Linked DNA regions of Macaca mulatta. The protein of the gene in region 1 purifies or fractionates together with the protein of each later gene. This does not show direct contact. Links are inferred from orthologs where the notes say so. Each region holds a gene or a part of one and is shown on either strand. Other genes may lie near its edges.

What was found. Proteins that work in one complex are often made in the same cells at the same time.
Region 2: the proteins of PFDN4 (region 1) and PFDN5 purify together in Homo sapiens (affinity purification with mass spectrometry; 5 studies listed by BioGRID and IntAct, counting the BioPlex papers as one, with this or other methods). This does not show direct contact. The link is inferred for Macaca mulatta from reciprocal best matches to the Homo sapiens genes PFDN4 and PFDN5.

The regions. Positions count from the first base shown.
Region 1 is NC_133415.1:107,033,298-107,041,072, reverse strand, and holds the start of PFDN4 (prefoldin subunit 4), read right to left. Parts: upstream 4,728-7,775; 5' UTR 4,618-4,727; coding exon 4,594-4,617; intron 1-4,593. UniProt on the Homo sapiens protein: Binds specifically to cytosolic chaperonin (c-CPN) and transfers target proteins to it. Binds to nascent polypeptide chain and promotes folding in an environment in which there are many competing pathways for nonnative proteins.
Region 2 is NC_133416.1:60,438,222-60,445,987, reverse strand, and holds PFDN5 (prefoldin subunit 5), read right to left. Parts: upstream 4,839-7,766; 5' UTR 4,827-4,838; coding exon 4,755-4,826; intron 4,555-4,754; coding exon 4,452-4,554; intron 4,150-4,451; coding exon 4,118-4,149; intron 2,589-4,117; coding exon 2,514-2,588; intron 2,394-2,513; coding exon 2,288-2,393; intron 844-2,287; coding exon 767-843; 3' UTR 664-766; downstream 1-663. UniProt on the Homo sapiens protein: Binds specifically to cytosolic chaperonin (c-CPN) and transfers target proteins to it. Binds to nascent polypeptide chain and promotes folding in an environment in which there are many competing pathways for nonnative proteins.

The DNA of each region.
Region 1 (7,775 bases):
CCAAGTCTATATCTTGGCACACAAGTCATTTTGCCTAAGTGAGAACTGTCAGTTCCCTATGCAAACAGACAGCAAAGAATTCTGAAGAGTTCCTGTTTGCCTGAAGAGTAGATGCCATTTGGTTAAATACTGAACCCCTAAAAACCTTAGCAGGTATTTAGAGATGCATTTGTCACAGTGAGGGCTCAACAGAGCCATTCACATGAACAGATCCAGTGCAGGACTGCCTGGCACATAACTGAGGCTAATACATGGTTTCTGAATCTGAACCTAAATCATGCTTGATCAAACTCATAAACACATAGTTTCCAAAATGTGGTAGAGAGAATTTGGCTATTTGCTTTCTGTCTTTCCAAAGCAGGTATTTCCTGTTGTAGCCCCACCAAACCACAGCCATCAGCACAGACCTGGCCCCTGGTATCCAGATCCTTCTGGTGGTTTTCCCACTGGGGTTAAGGGCTAAAGTTGATGTGTGAGTCAAATACACTGCATGCCGCCCACGGAGTGCTGTTTACAGCAGAAGGTAAGATGTCAGTGCCTTTGATGGCTAACAGAGGCTTCTGTTTTAGTCTCACTGTCCTAGAATATTCCTACATTTCTTGAAGCTGCATTTTGGCAAGAAGTGGGTAATTTTATTTATTTATTTATTTATTTTTTGAGAGAGTCTCACTCTGTTGCCCAGGCTGAAGTGCAGTAGTATGATCTCGGCTCACTGCAACCTCCACTTCCTGAGTTCAAGCCATTCCCCTGCCTCAGTCTCCCAAGTAGCTGAGATTACATACACGTGCCACCACACCCAGCTAATTTTTGTATTTTTAGTAGAGAAGGGGTTTCACCATGTTAGCCGGGCTGGTCTTGAACTCCTAACCTCAGGTGATCCGCCAGGCTCCGCCTCCCAAAGTGCTGGGATTACAGGCGTGAGCCACCACGCCCAGCCAGAAGTGGGTAATTCTTAACTAGGGGAGGGTCAATGGACATTGACAGGTCAATTTAACCCGAGACTGTATGCAAAATGGCATGTATAGTATGTGCATTCTTCTGGAAGCTCTTCATATCCTACAGTATCGGAGGCAGCACACAGAATGGTGGAGAGTCAGGCTGGAATCCAATCCAAGCAAACAGGAATCTTGGGCAAATTACCCAATTCTATGGAACCTCCTCAGGTTTCTTATCTGTAAAAAGAAGCTAGTTCCTACCTTACAGGGTTGATAAAACGAACATGTGGGAGAAAGCTTGATGATGGAGTCAGTCAAATGATAGCCAAGCATTTTATATCCTGAATATTGCTTATCAAAAATCATTACAAAGAACAGATCCAGATCTAGAAGGAAATTCTGCTAGGCCAAAGAGAAATACGCCTGCTCGAGATCCAAGGTAAAAATTAAAATTCCCCGGGCTCTTTTCTTGAGAACTAGTATCTTACGGGATTAGAGGAGGAAACAGAACCATACTCGGTCATGCCCCACACCAAGTCTAGGTATTACTCGGAGTCTGCACTGACAGCTGGGTCCCTAGAAATAAATTCTGGCCAATTTCAGTCTTTTATTTTTACTTTTAAAAACATATCTACCAAGTCTGTATGATGTAAACTTTTGCTTTGTATTTGTACTCAACAACTTTCTTTTTTTTTTTTTGGTTTTTGTTTCTGAGATGAGTCTCGCTCTGTCGCCAGGCTGGAGTGCAGTGGCGTGATCTTGGCTCACTGCGACCTCCACCTCCTGGGTTCAAGCGATTCTCGTGCCTCAGCCTCCTGAGTAGCTGGGACTACAGGTGCACACCACCATACCCAGCTAATTTTTGTATTCAACTTTCATCCATGCAGTAGTTTATTTAACAATTACTGTTTCCTATATGCCATGACAAGAGAGCCACTATCCCACCTGGCAAGCATACATCCTGGTGGAGGAAGAGAAAAAAACAAGATGAACGAGATAATGTTCGATGGTGACAAACGTGATGATGAAAATACAATAGCTTAGGAGAAGAAAGTTTTGGGGGCCTGGGGAGTGAAGGAGGCTTCTTTAGATAAAGGTCAAAGGTAGCCTCTCTGAGGAAAGAACATTTGTATGTAGGATAATCAACAGAAATCAAAGTGCAGATCTCCTTATGGTCAAGAACTGGATCTTAGAAGGCAGAACTTTAGAGATGAGAGTACTGAATCATCTCATCTAAACATTCTCCCCAGCAAAATCATGACCAGTTGAGAGATAACGATGTGTTACAAATGTAAAGTACTCCAGATTGTACATGATTTGCTTTTCATTAAACTCAAAGGGCTCTCTCTCTCTGTCTCACTCTCACTCACTGGCATACATGTTTGTTTTCTCCCATTGAGGGCAAAGGGGAAAAGCGTACATGTAAGATAATCTATCGGGAATTGTTCATAACACTGGAAACATCTACAGGAGGACATTACATCTATCATGTGACTCTCAAAGGCTTCAAAGTTAACGAAGATCTTTTATATTTTGGCCACCACCTACCCTTCTACAAGTTCTTTTCCCATCATGGCTCAAACTTTCTTCCCCTGATTATCTGCCATCAGGCCTTCCTTGTATTAAATGTACTCAGAGTCTCTGCAGATACTCCTCTCTAGAATGCTTCATTCTCTATCCAACTCTCCCTTTCTTTCCTTACATAATCTCACAGATCTCAACTTAAATGGCACTTTCCCAGGAAAGCCTTCTCTGATCTCAAAACAGACCTCATTTTGGCCCTCATTTCGTAAGTACTTTTCCTTCACAGTTCTCACCAGAGAAACTAGTTTTCTGTGTGACTATGTGAGTAATGCCTGCCTCTGTCCTGGAACATACGTTCTTTGGGGCTATAAGAATAAGGGGAGAAGAACTTCCTCACTGGTCACCGCAGTTGTCTCCACTTAAAACTGAGACTATGCCATATTACATGCCCCCAAAAATTTACTGAATCAATGAAAGGGGGAAAACAAAAGTTGATAATTAGAAATTTTGCAATCAAAATCCAGGGTTCAAATCATTCTTCTGCCATTTCCTCTTTGACCATTTACTTCACCTCTCTGCACTTCAGTTTCCATACCTATAAAACGGAGTGAACCACAACTAGTATCTTTCAAGGAATTAAAGGCCATACCTAACACCAGAGGGCCCAATTTCACAAACTAGAGGTGAAGTGAATCTCACCAAGTTTCATACTGTTTTGAATCACCATGGCCCTGGACCCTACTCTGGGACTCAGTAAGAATTTTTGGATGGCAGAATAGTAGGGTGAGCAACACATCTTGAGTTAGCTGGGGCGTTCCCAGTTTTGGCAGTCCCTCAATTTCATATAAAACGGGGCAATGGGTCACCCTACACCAGGCACAGATGGCATAGACTATGTGGTACTGGATGGGGGTAAAGCAAAGGAAGTTCTAATGTGGTCTTAAAAGTGGAATGAATGCAAATCCCGCCAGCCAAGAGATTCTCATGGAAGACCCCCTATAGCAGTTTAAAACTCAGACTCCGGAGTCAGAATGCCTGTGTTTAAATGCTAGCTTTGCCTCCGTGCCTGTTTTCTCATTTGTTAAATAAGGATAAAAACAGTATCTCCCCTAAAGTACATAAGATAAACAATACACCCAAAAAAAAAAAAAGTACAGCTATACCTAGCACACTGTAAAGCTCCCCAAATTGTCAGTCGTTATTTCCTTCCCCCTCTCCACTTTTCTTTTTCTTCTGTCTAGCTATCTTTACACATCTGGGAAGCCACGGATTTATAAACCCGACATGGAAGTTTAGCCTGCTTAGTGGTTACATAGGTGTGCTTTGAGAAAAACCAAACCAAACCTGAGTTCGAACTCCAGCTCAGCTTCTTACTAGCTGAGTCACTTTGGGGCCCCTAACTGCTCTGTGTCTAAGTTTCTCTACCTGCAAAGTGGGGAGGAACCCATTGCACTTGCTGAGCTGCGGGGAGGATAACGGATAAAGGGCCGGCTGCTGGGCCGGCAGATCGTCCGTCTTCAATAAATACTGGTTTTAGCCTGGAGGACTCAGGGGCATAGAGCGTGGACATGGGCAGCTCCGGGTTGGACACGGGGGCTCTTGGGCCTGATAATCCGGGGATGCAGGAACCTGCTGTCCCCCTTATGAGCTGCGTAACCTGAGGCAGGTGACTTCCCATCTCTGGGCCTCAGTTTCCTCACCCGTAACCACGGTCCCAGCAGCAGCTACCCATAACCAATGAGGCTAATGCGATCATGCCGGTGCAACGCCCGAGTCAAGGCCAACCACACTCAACGAGACCTTCGACTTCCCACACCTTAGGGGCAAGGCTGGGGCTGCAGATTCCTCAGACTCCCCGGGGGCACCCTCGGCATCGCGGGAGGCGGCCCAGGGCCCTCGGAGGCTCCCGGCCCCAGCCCCGGCTCCCCGCCTCGGCTGGCCAGGTGCCTAGGAAAACGCTCAGGGCGCCAGGCGCGGGCAGGCCTTGCCGCGGGGCCGCTCTCAGGGCCTCGGCCTCGGCCTCGGGTCCCACGCCGGGCTTCGGAGCTGCGCACCCCCAGCATCCCGCGCCCCAACCCCCGCGGCCGAGATTCGGCGCCACCCGCGCATCCAGAGCCCCGAGCGCCCCACTCACCGCCTTCTTCATGGTGGCCGCCATCTTGGGACTGGACTACGGCACGCGGCGGGGAGGGCCGCAATGGCGCGCTTCGTCCTCGAGCGTTCTCTCGCTCCCGGTCGGCCCAGAACTCCCCGCAGAAATACAACACTGTCTCCACATTCCCTCCTCTTGGACTTTTGGCTAATGATTCCAAACGGCTGGGACGTAGGGAGGAAATGTGACCTGGAAAGACTTGGTACATGCCAATTAAAGGGACAGGCAACCCCCGTGGGCCGACATAAACACGGGGGTGTGGCGAACGGCTCCGGCTGCGGGCAGCAGGGTGCGCGTCCCAGGGTACGCGTCCCTCAGCGTGGCGGGGACCAGCTGGGGCAGGATCAAAGGGGAGGCTGGGGGAATTTTTCTGCATCCGTCCCACAGACTTGCATTGAGAAAGCTGACCTCCCTGTAAAAGAGCTAGGAACGAATGGCCTTGGCAAATAGGGTGTGAGACTTACGTGCCATGATAATTCAGGTGGTGTAAAGGAGGAGGCGCTCCTATCTTTTAATGTAATTTTTTTAAAAATTTAGATTCAGGGGGTAGGTGTGCAGGTTTATTACACGGATATATTGCATAGCGCTAAGGTTTGGGTTTCTAATGATCCCGTTGCCCAAGTAGTGAACATAGTACTCCCTAGGTAATTTTTCAACACCTTTCCCCTGCCTCCTTCCCCGTGTTTGGAATCCCTAGCATTTGTTGTTCCCATCTTTATGTCCATGATTACCCAGTGTTTAGCTCTCACTCGTAAGTGGGAACATGAGTGGTTGATTTTCTGTTCTTTGTTAATTCACTTGGGATAATGATGTCCAGCTGCATCCATGTTGCTGCAAAGAACATGATTTTGTTCTTTCTTATGGCTGCATAGTATTCCATGGTGTATATGGACCACGTTTTCTTTATCCTATCCACTACTGATGGGCACCTGGGTTGATTCCATGCCTTTGCTGTTGTGAATAGGCAATCCTATTGATTAATTTACAGCAATATTACTGAACAGTTACTGTATATTCTGACACTTGTATCTCCCAATTAGTAATTTTTTTTTTTTTTTTTTTTTTTTTGGCCTTAGGATCTCTTTGTACTCCTAGAAATTATTGAGGACTCCAGAGAATTTTTATGTGGGTTATTTATCGATATTTGCTGTATTAGAAATTAAAGCAGAATTTTAAAAATGTAGTTATTAATTCATTTAAAATAATATAAAACTCCATTCCATGGTAATAAAAATCACACTTTAAAAATACCTATATTTTCTAAGACAAAAACAAATTGAGAAGACTGTCATCGTTTTACATTTTCACTGATGTCTTTAATATCAGGCTTAATGGAAGGTTAGATTCTCATGTGTACTTCTGCATTCAGTCTCTCCAAATATACTGTTTAGTTGTCTAGTTGTAGGTATGAAAAACCCCAGCCTCACACAAATCATGCAGTTGGGAAAGGGAGGCCCTCATGGATGCCTGAAAAGGTCTCAGGGACTCCCGACGTTCATGGACCACAGCTTGAGAACTGCCCCTGACAAGCCACCTCCTTTCTCAAAGTCCCAATTTCCTCTTTGGTTCAATGAGGGGAATGAGACCTTACAGCACCTTGTGCTCTCCCCACCGAACCACCTAGCCCGCCACGGGCATTGCCTGTTCTCCTGACTGTTCTGGGCTCTCCAGGCCCTTAGTATTGGGACTTTCCAGTGTGTAGCTTATATGTGCTCAAAAAAAGTATTTGTTGAATAAAAATGTTTTTCCAGGGTTAAATTTTAGCACAGGGTCTGGCGCATAGGATATGCTCCATCAGTGACACCTGTTTATTCCAGAGCTCAATGTAAAAGCACTGCAAGAAACAAATGGTGGAGAGGGAGACAGAAATAAAGGGCAAAATTGTCACAAATGGTACCAAGTGCATGAAGGAGATAAATGAGGTGCTGAGGCAGAGCACAGAGGGGAGGGGTGGGGGCCGGCTCTGGAACTGGCCTCCAAGCTAAGAGAAAATGGGAGGCCTCAGCATGGGGAGAGGAGATGAAAGTGGGCCCCAGGGCTGAAGGGCTGAGAGGGAAAGAGCCTGGTGAGACATGGTAGAAAGGACTGAGCAGCATGGAGCGAGGCTGGGGTGCAAGGCAGGGGCCAGATCTGAGTGTGTTTTAGACCTTGGTAAGGCCAAACCGGGGGAGGGAGAGAGAAAGAGAGAAAGAACTCTGACTTTTTCAAACCTTTATTGAGAAATGGCTGAGTTGAAAGGTGAGGAACAATGGAGCATGAATTTTGAGGAAGTGTAATTGTATGGTGGGGACTGAAAGTAGCATAGGGGGTTTCAAAGAGAGAAGCACTTCAATCCTCAAATTCATAGATCTTAGGACCAGAAGGGACCTCAACCTTCATCTATGCTAACCTTTGCCTTTCGCTGAAATATATAATAATGATAGTTGTTATGGTTTGACTGTGTTCCCACCCAAATCTCTTCTTGGATGGTAGCTCCCATAATTTCCATGTGTTGTGGGAGGGACTTGGTGGGAGATAACTGAATCATGGGGGTGGTTTCCTCTATACTGTTCTCGTGGTAGTGAATAAGTCTTATGAGAGCTGATGGTTTTATGAGGGGTTTCCCCTTTCTCTTGTTTCATTCTCCCTGTCTGCCACCACATAAGATGTGCCTTTTGCCTTCCGCCATGATTGTGAGGCCTCCCCAGCCACGTGGAACTGTGAGTCCATTAAACCTCTTTTTCTTTATCAATTACCCAGTCTTGCGTATGTCTTTATCAGCAGTGTGAAAACGGACTAATGCAACAGTAATAGTAACATATAAAACTGACACGGTACATATTCTGTGACTTGCATGTTGTTAAATGTTTTAATCCTCCCCATACCACACAATATTGTTATCGACCATTTTACAGGAGAGGAAATAGCGTTTCAGAAGGACAAAGCTACCTGGCCAAGGCTACAGCAGCCAGGAAGTACCAGAGCCTGGGTTTGAACTCTTGGCGAACCTGGCTCCAGAGACCACTCTCCAAGCACCAGGATTTGCACATCACTACAAGTCACGTATAAAGTCAGCTGTGTCCCGGAGTGGGTAGCTCATAGTGGACATTGCAGCTCCTGTCACCTAACTTGCATGAGTAAAGTGTTTAAGACTCATTAAAGGGCGTACTGGAGCCAGACTGCCT
Region 2 (7,766 bases), on another chromosome or scaffold:
CGCCGGGTAGGAGATTAAAGCTGGACTTCAGGGAGACAGGGCGGGTAGGAAGGGTGCTTGGGATGCCCCGCGCTATCGGAGGGACCCTGTCAGCGGAATGCCATCCACCCTGGAGGCATGCATGCACGCAGTGTCAGGGTCACTTTTCGCGGACTGTACCCGGTACTCCGGCAGGAGGCGAAGCAGTGCGCATGCCAGTGCCTCGTCGCAGTGGAAGGTGCCATTGTGCGTCCCGATTCGGGGCGATGCCATGAGTTTGCTGCGGGGTCGTTTTGGGGGCGGGACGGACTCTGGGCCGAGCATGCGGTGCCGGGTATACACAGGTGGCGGCAGCAGCAGCAGCGTTAAAAGACCGCGCAGGAAGCGGTATCCCATAAGACTCTCCCGGTAGGGAGGCAGGAGGGCCGACCCGGAAGGGAAAGCGCCAGCGGAGCTCCACTTCCGCTTGCCAACCGTTGCCTTGGCAACCAGCTCCGCAGAGTGAGCAGCAGCTCACTCCCAGCCTAGGATTTCTTCCAGCTGGTCAAAGGGCCCTGCGGTGGAGCCTTCAGGAGGAGCACCGCATCAACCCTGTGCATCAGGCTCTGGGGCGGGGCCCACACTCTCGACCACCCCCCCATCTCATCACCAGTCCCTTGCTTAATCCAAGAAAAGACCAACATTCTGCCCAGCTGGCACATTTATTGGCATTAAACACAAGACCCTTCCCAGCACCAGGAAGCCATGCCCAAAGCCGTGTCCCTCTGCCCCATTTGTGCAAAAACTCTCAGGCCTTAGCAGTAGCCTGAGCTGCTCCCAGGGCTGTCAGCTGCTGAATCTTCTGACTCATCATTTCCATGACAGCTGTGGAAAAAAAGAAGCGTCAAAGGTTAGGAGCAAAAAGGAGAACCTAGAGTTAAGGAGAAGTTATAGGCAAGTTTAAGGACAGGTGGACAACTAACTACAGTTTGTTAATAAAACGTTTTTTTTTTTGTTTTGTTTTTTTTTTTTTTTTGAGACGGAGTCTCGCTCTGTCACCCAGGCTGGAGTGCAGTGGCCAGATCTCAGCTCACTGCAAGCTCCGCCTCCCAGGTTCACGCCATTCTCCTGCCTCAGCCTCCCAAGTAGCTGGGACTACAGGCGCCCGCCACCTTGACCGGCTAGTTTTTTTGTATTTTCTTAGTAGAGACGGGGTTTCACCATGTTGGCCATGATGGTCTCGATCTCCTGACCTCATGATCCGCCCATCTCAGCCTCCCAAAGTGCTGGGATTACAGGCTTGAGCCACCGTGCCTAGCCAACTTTTTTGTTTTTTTGAGATGGAATCTTGCTCTTGTCAAACAGGCTGGAGTGCAGTGGCACGACCTTGGCTCACTGCAACCTCTGCCTCCGGGGTTCAAGCGATTCTCCTGCCTCATCCTCCCGAATAGCTGAGATTACAGGCATGCACCACCATGCCCAGGTTAACTTCGTATTTTTAGTAGAGACGGGGTTTCACCATGGTGGCCAGGCTGGTCTTGAACTCCTGACCTCAGGTGATCCACCTGCCTCGGCTTCCCAAAGCGCTGGGATTACAGGCGTCAGCCACCGTGTCTGGCACTGTTAATAAAACTTTAACTCAGTGATCCACTGTGGGGTCGCTAACACAAATTTAGGGTCTACAATGCATCAATCAATATGTTAACCACAGCTGGGTGTGGTGAGAATGAGACTGTCTCGGGGAAAAAAAAACCCTGCTAATCAGATATATAAAAACGAACACACTTGGTATTAAATGAGTCTGACATAATCAGAAAACTATAATGTGGAAAGATTTTTACCTTCGGAACACTGGTTCTGAATCCTGATTGTAACAGAGGGGAGCTTTTTTAAAACAAAAAAACATACCTTGGTACAACTTCCCTTCCCTTGACTTCCAAGTTGATTTAGTCAATCTGGCATGGACCCAGGCTTTCTTTTTAAACTTCCTGAGTGATTCTCATGTGCGGTCAGGGTTATAATTGCTGGTATTTAGTTCATTTGGATCATGATTCCTTCCTGTGTGTTCATCTCATTCCCCCATTCCATCCTCATTAAAAAGGAGCTCCACCAAAGCACAAAAATGATTTCCTTCCTCTAAATTTCTCAAACACTCAACCCAGGAATCTACAGATAGTGATTATGCAATACACAGATTCTAAAGATTCCAAAGAGAAACTAAGACGTAGTTTTACTCCAGCAAAGGGGACACCCCCGTGGTTCACTCTGCAATCCACGTTCTTTATCATGGAGATAGACAGGGTCAAGAGGTGCCCCAGGAAAAACTTACCCTGTTTCATGGCGTGCTTTTCCTGAAGAGCTGGTTGGATTTTCTCCATCTGTTTGGTTAGAAAATCTATCTTCCTCTTGAAAAAGTCCTTGGCATCCTCAGCTGTCTACAAGATCAGAGGTGAATGAGGGGCTAAAAGGAGACTCCCTCTGGCCATGTTGCACTCTAGAACTTCCCCTAAATTTCCCTTCCCTGTTCAGAGGGGCATCCACATGCTCTCACTCACCTTCTCTACATAGTACCCAGTTCCCACATCGATGAGCACATGTTCCACATCATGCAGCTTCCCAGGGACATACATCTGAGAAGCAAGTATTAAGGCAAAAACTAGCCCAGCATGAGCCATGATTCCGCCAGCCAGCCTGCTTGGCCTCCAAAGACCCTTTTCCAAAAAGCTTCAAGGCATAAGGACTGAATAATCTGGAGGCCTTAGAACAATAACTCCAAATGGAAAGAAGACTGAGAAGTTGGTTCTTTAAGGAGAAAATGATGTATGCTGGAACACCCTTTTGTTCTGCCTCATCCCATCTCTCACCCTCTAAGCAGTTCTTGCAATTCTTCTCATTAGCCCCATCAGAAAGACTAGATATAATGTTTTCCTACTGTTGTAGAGTACTACAAGTGGAAAGCCAGCCTCATTTCCCTTAACACCCTCAATCATGAAGTAGATAATTCCTACCGAAGTTCTTTTTTTGTTTGTTTGTTGAGACAGAGTCTCGCTCTGTTGCCCAGGCTGGAGTGCAGTGGCGCGCTATTGGCTCACTGCAACCTCCGCCTCCCGGGTTAAAGTGATTCTTCTGTCTCAGCCTCCGGAGTGGTTGGGATCACAAGTGTGTGCCACCACGCCCGGCTAATTTTTGTATATTTAGTAGAGACGGGGATTCACCATGTTGGCCAGACTGATCTTGAACTCCTGACCTCAGGTGATCTGCCAGCCTTGGCTCCCAAAGTGCTGGGGATTACAGGCGTGAGCAACCGTGCCTGGCTAATTTTTTTTTTTAACCATTCCCTACTACACTACTATTCCTGTGCTCCTTTTAGCCTGTCAGTTCTCAGACTACAGATTAAAGGTGCCCTACTGCCATAACTTGTTCATTCAAGTAAAACACTGAACAAGTGGACACAATCCAGGTTTCTTAGTGACAGTTTAGAAATGAGCCACAATTAACAGAGCCAACCTCCCTGTTCCTATATCCTCCTATTTTTGTCTATTACCTGTATCTTCTAAGATATTAGCAAAGTGTAAACCACCAGCTTTATCTCCATATTAATGTTCTCAAATAGCAAAGGGAAATATTACATCTCAACTATACATACTCCTTGGTGTTCACAAGGCATTAGCTGGATGTTGGTGTGAAGTTAGATAAAAGAGCTACAAAGTGTGTAATAAGAGTACTCTTGGCCGGGGGCAGTGGCTCACGCCTGTAATCCTAGCACTTTGGGAGGCCAAGGCAGGCAGATCACGAGGTCAGGAGTTCGAGACTAGCCTGGCCAATATGGTGAAACTCCATCTCTACTAATAATACAAAAATTAGCCAGTCGTGGTGGCGCGTGCCTGCGGTCCCAGCTACTCAGGAGACTGAGGCAGAAGAATCTCTTGAACCCAGGAGGCGGAGGTTACAGTGAGCCGAGATCGCACCACTGCACTCCAGTCTGGGCGACAGAGCAAGATTCCGTCTTTAAAAAAAAAAAAGGGTGTTATCAAAATCATTGTGGGGAGAGGATAATCTGAAGTACTGAAGTAATCAAAACAATCCCCCTCCCTGCTTTTTGGAGGAGTGAGGGAGAAAGGGAGAAGGCAGCAGGTAGCCGTTCCTGTGGAAAGGATACAGAACTCGTCAGTGGGACAAGTAATTCTTTCCCTGTGAAAGCAATGAAGACAAACACCTGGGGAAGGTTAGTGGCTCCAATGTAAGACGTTAAAGAGAGTTCCAAGAGGGCACAGCACCCACAGACAGTGTGAAAAGAACGGAAACAGGGGCAATAGAAGCAGAGGAACGTCCTGTACATTTCAATTCTAGGTAGGCAACATGCAAAGGGTTCATGAAGCGGTATACGATATGTAATGGATTTTCTCGTTTCAGGTAAGAAAAACTGGATTAGGAGGTGGGACGAGAGAAGCAGGCTTGCCACTTTAGGTTGCCCTCACCCCCCTACCCCATACCCTCGTTGCTCTTGTTCAGCACGTTCAGACAGTCCTTGGCTTCCACATACTTGGTCTGTACCACTTTGAGCTGGGCAATGGACGTGGACAAGAACTCCACTTCCTACAGAGAACGGGTATAGCGGGTCAATGAGAGGGCTATGGGGAAAAGGGAGAGCGGCCGGGGAGGGGGCGGGTCCTGGGACCGGATAGAGGTTTCGCCTGGGCAAGGTAGGCTCCCAACTTGGGACCGGGCGCAAGGAAGTACGCGTGGGCAGGGGGGATGTAGAGCGGGAAAGAGGTGCCTATGGGGCCCGTCACTACCTGGTCCAGCTGGTTCTTGAGCATTTCTAGCTGCGGCAGATTCAGCTCCGTGATGTTAATAGACTGCGCCATGTTGGGAAGGAGGACTAACGAAGAGGAAGTCCCTCGGCGAGCAACGCTCTAGCCGTCCTCTGCGCGTCTCGATGGCGCCAGGAGGCCTCGCTGCGCCATACAGCTCTATGATCCTCCGTCCCGGAAGGGAAGGAGGGGCTTGAATTTCTCAGAGGCTGATCTGTCAGTTATTTTCATAAAATATTCTAAGCCTAGTACAGTAAAGTAGCAGCAAACAGGACTCCTGCCCATAGGGAACTGCAAAATCTTAAAGTTCTCACGATACAACCACGATATTACAAAGTAGTGTATGCTACTCCACGTGGGTGGTATAAGCTACTAGATAGCAGGCTGGGTTGCTATGGTGACGGCTCCTGGGGCCTCGTCCTGCCCCTCTCTACCCCACCTGCTTGTGCTGCCTGCTGGTACCCCGCCAGGTCCGATTTCAAATATTCCTCCCCGCACAGCAGGGAAATTCTTTATATTTTATTTTATTTTTTTTTTTGAGACGGAGTCTGGCTCTGTCGCCCGGGCTGGAGTGCAGTGGCCGGATCTCAGCTCACTGCAAGCTCCGCCCCCCGGGTTTACGCCATTCTCCTGCCTCAGCCTCCCGAGTAGCTGGGACTACAGGCGCCCGCCGCCTCGCCCGGCTAGTTTTTTGTATTTTTTAGTAGAGATGGGGTTTCACCGTGTTCGCCAGGATGGTCTCGATCTCCTGACCTAGTGATCCGCCCGTCTCGGCCTCCCAAAGTGCTGGGATTACAGGCTTGAGCCACCGCGCCCGGCCATGGCAGGGAAATTCTAAACTATTTTTCCCAGATGGCCTCTGAGGCCGAAAGGCAGGGAAAAAAAAACAAATAACAACAACAAAAAAATCCCTTGTCAGACCGTTCTGAATTGTTCTTGAAAAAAATCAGGCATGGCCGGGCGCGGTGGCTCAAGCCTGTAATCCCAGCACTTTGGGAGGCCGAGACGGGCGGATCATGAGGTCAGGAGATCGAGACCATCCTGGCTAACACGGTGAAACCCCGTCTCTACTAAAAAATACAAAAAACTAGCCGGGCGAAGTGGCGGGCGCCTGTAGTCCCAGCTACTTGGGAGGCTGAGGCAGGAGAATGGCGTGTACCCGGGAGGCGGAGCTTGCAGTGAGCTGAGATCCGGCCACTGCACTCCAGCCTGGGCGACAGAGCATGACTCCGTCTCAAAAAAAAAAAAAAAAATCAGGCATTAGATTGAAAGCTTGTTGAAGGCAGGAACCAACCATGTTCTCATCACTGAACTAATTCTTCCCCTCTGGCTATGACCATCTTCCCCCAGCCGGAAGTAGGCTGACACCTAGTAGGATCTGAAAAAGGGTTTATAACCCGTTGCCAGTGAGTTGGTGGGAGAACAGCAAGGAAGCACCATTGTCAACACATAGAGCACAAATTAATCAATAAAATGTTTTGGCCAGGCATGGTGGCTCATTCCTGCAATCCCAGCACTTTGGGAGGCCGAGAAGGGCAGATCACTTGAGCCCAGGAGTTTGAGGCCAGCCTGGGCAACATGGCGACACCCCGTCTCAACAAAAAATACAAAAATTAGCCGGGCTGGTGGCATATGCCTGTAGTCCTAGCTACACGGGAGGCTGAGGTGGGAGGATTGCTTGAGCTGGAGAGTTGGAGGCTGTAGTAGGCTGTGATTGTGCACTCTAGCAACAGAGCTAGACTCTGTCTCTAAAAAAAAAAAAAAGACCTGGCACAGTGGCTCACGCCTGTAATCCCAGCACTTTGGGAGGCCGAGGCAGGCAGATCACGAGGTCAGGAGATCGAGACCATCCTGGCTAACATGGTGAAACCCCATCTCTAATAAAAATACAAAAAATTAGCTAGGCATGGTGGCGAGCGCCTGTAGTCCCAGCTACTGGGGAGGCTGAGGCAGAATGGCGTGAACCCGGGAGGCGGAGCTTGCAGTGAGCTGAGATGCGCCACTGCACTCCAGCCTGGGCAACAGAGCCAGACTGTCTCAAAAAAAAAAAAAAAAAAAGTTTTACCATGTGCTATATGTGAGGAATACGTGAGAGTAAGACATTTGCTTCCCTTGAGCTTAACAACTGGAGAGAAAAACCACACTAGAACTCCACAGATCCACAGACTCTACTGCTAAAGTTACGCATTGGTAAGTGTAACATGTGTACATGGGCAGACAGCAGTAGCCTTTAACATCTACTTAGGAGGGAGGCAGGGCAACTGAGGCATTAAAACTAGTGCCATGGCTGGGCACGGTGACTCACGCCTGTAATCCCAGCACTTTTGGAAGGCTGAGAAGGGCGGATCACAAGGTCAGGAGTTTGAGACCAGCCTGGCCAATATGGTGAAACCCTGCCTCTACTAAAAATACAAAAATTAGTGGGACGTGGTGGCATGTGCCTGTAGTCCCAGCTACTCGGGAGGCTGAAGCAGGAGAATCGCTTGAACCCGGCACGCAGAGGTTGCAGTGAGCCAAGATTGTGCCACTACACTCCAGCCTGGGCAACAGAGCAAGACTGTCTCAAAAAAAACAAAAAAAAACCACTAGTGCCACTCCAAGGATACCTGAGGCAGGAAGAAAGGATGGACGGATGGTACCTGGCCAAAACACTCTCAACGGGTCTATTACTACCCTTCATTGGGCCTGTCTCTACTTAGAATTTTGATGCCCCTTTCTCCTCCAGATTTGTCTGCTGAGGTCCAGCCAGGCCCAGCAGGCTTTGTCCTGTGTCTTTGTCTTTCTTCCCTAGGCACTCAAACTTGATCTCCTATAAGCTGTTCCTGTCAGCTTACAGTACCACATAGCAGGAAGGGGGGCAGTCATGACATGTCTTTAAATGTTCTCAGATAAACTACACAAAACAAGGTTTAAGTGATGTATCTTTATTATATTGAAGTTAAATCAAAAGGAAATGTTTCATATAAAACACTGGGGAAAGTCACTTTAAAAGAG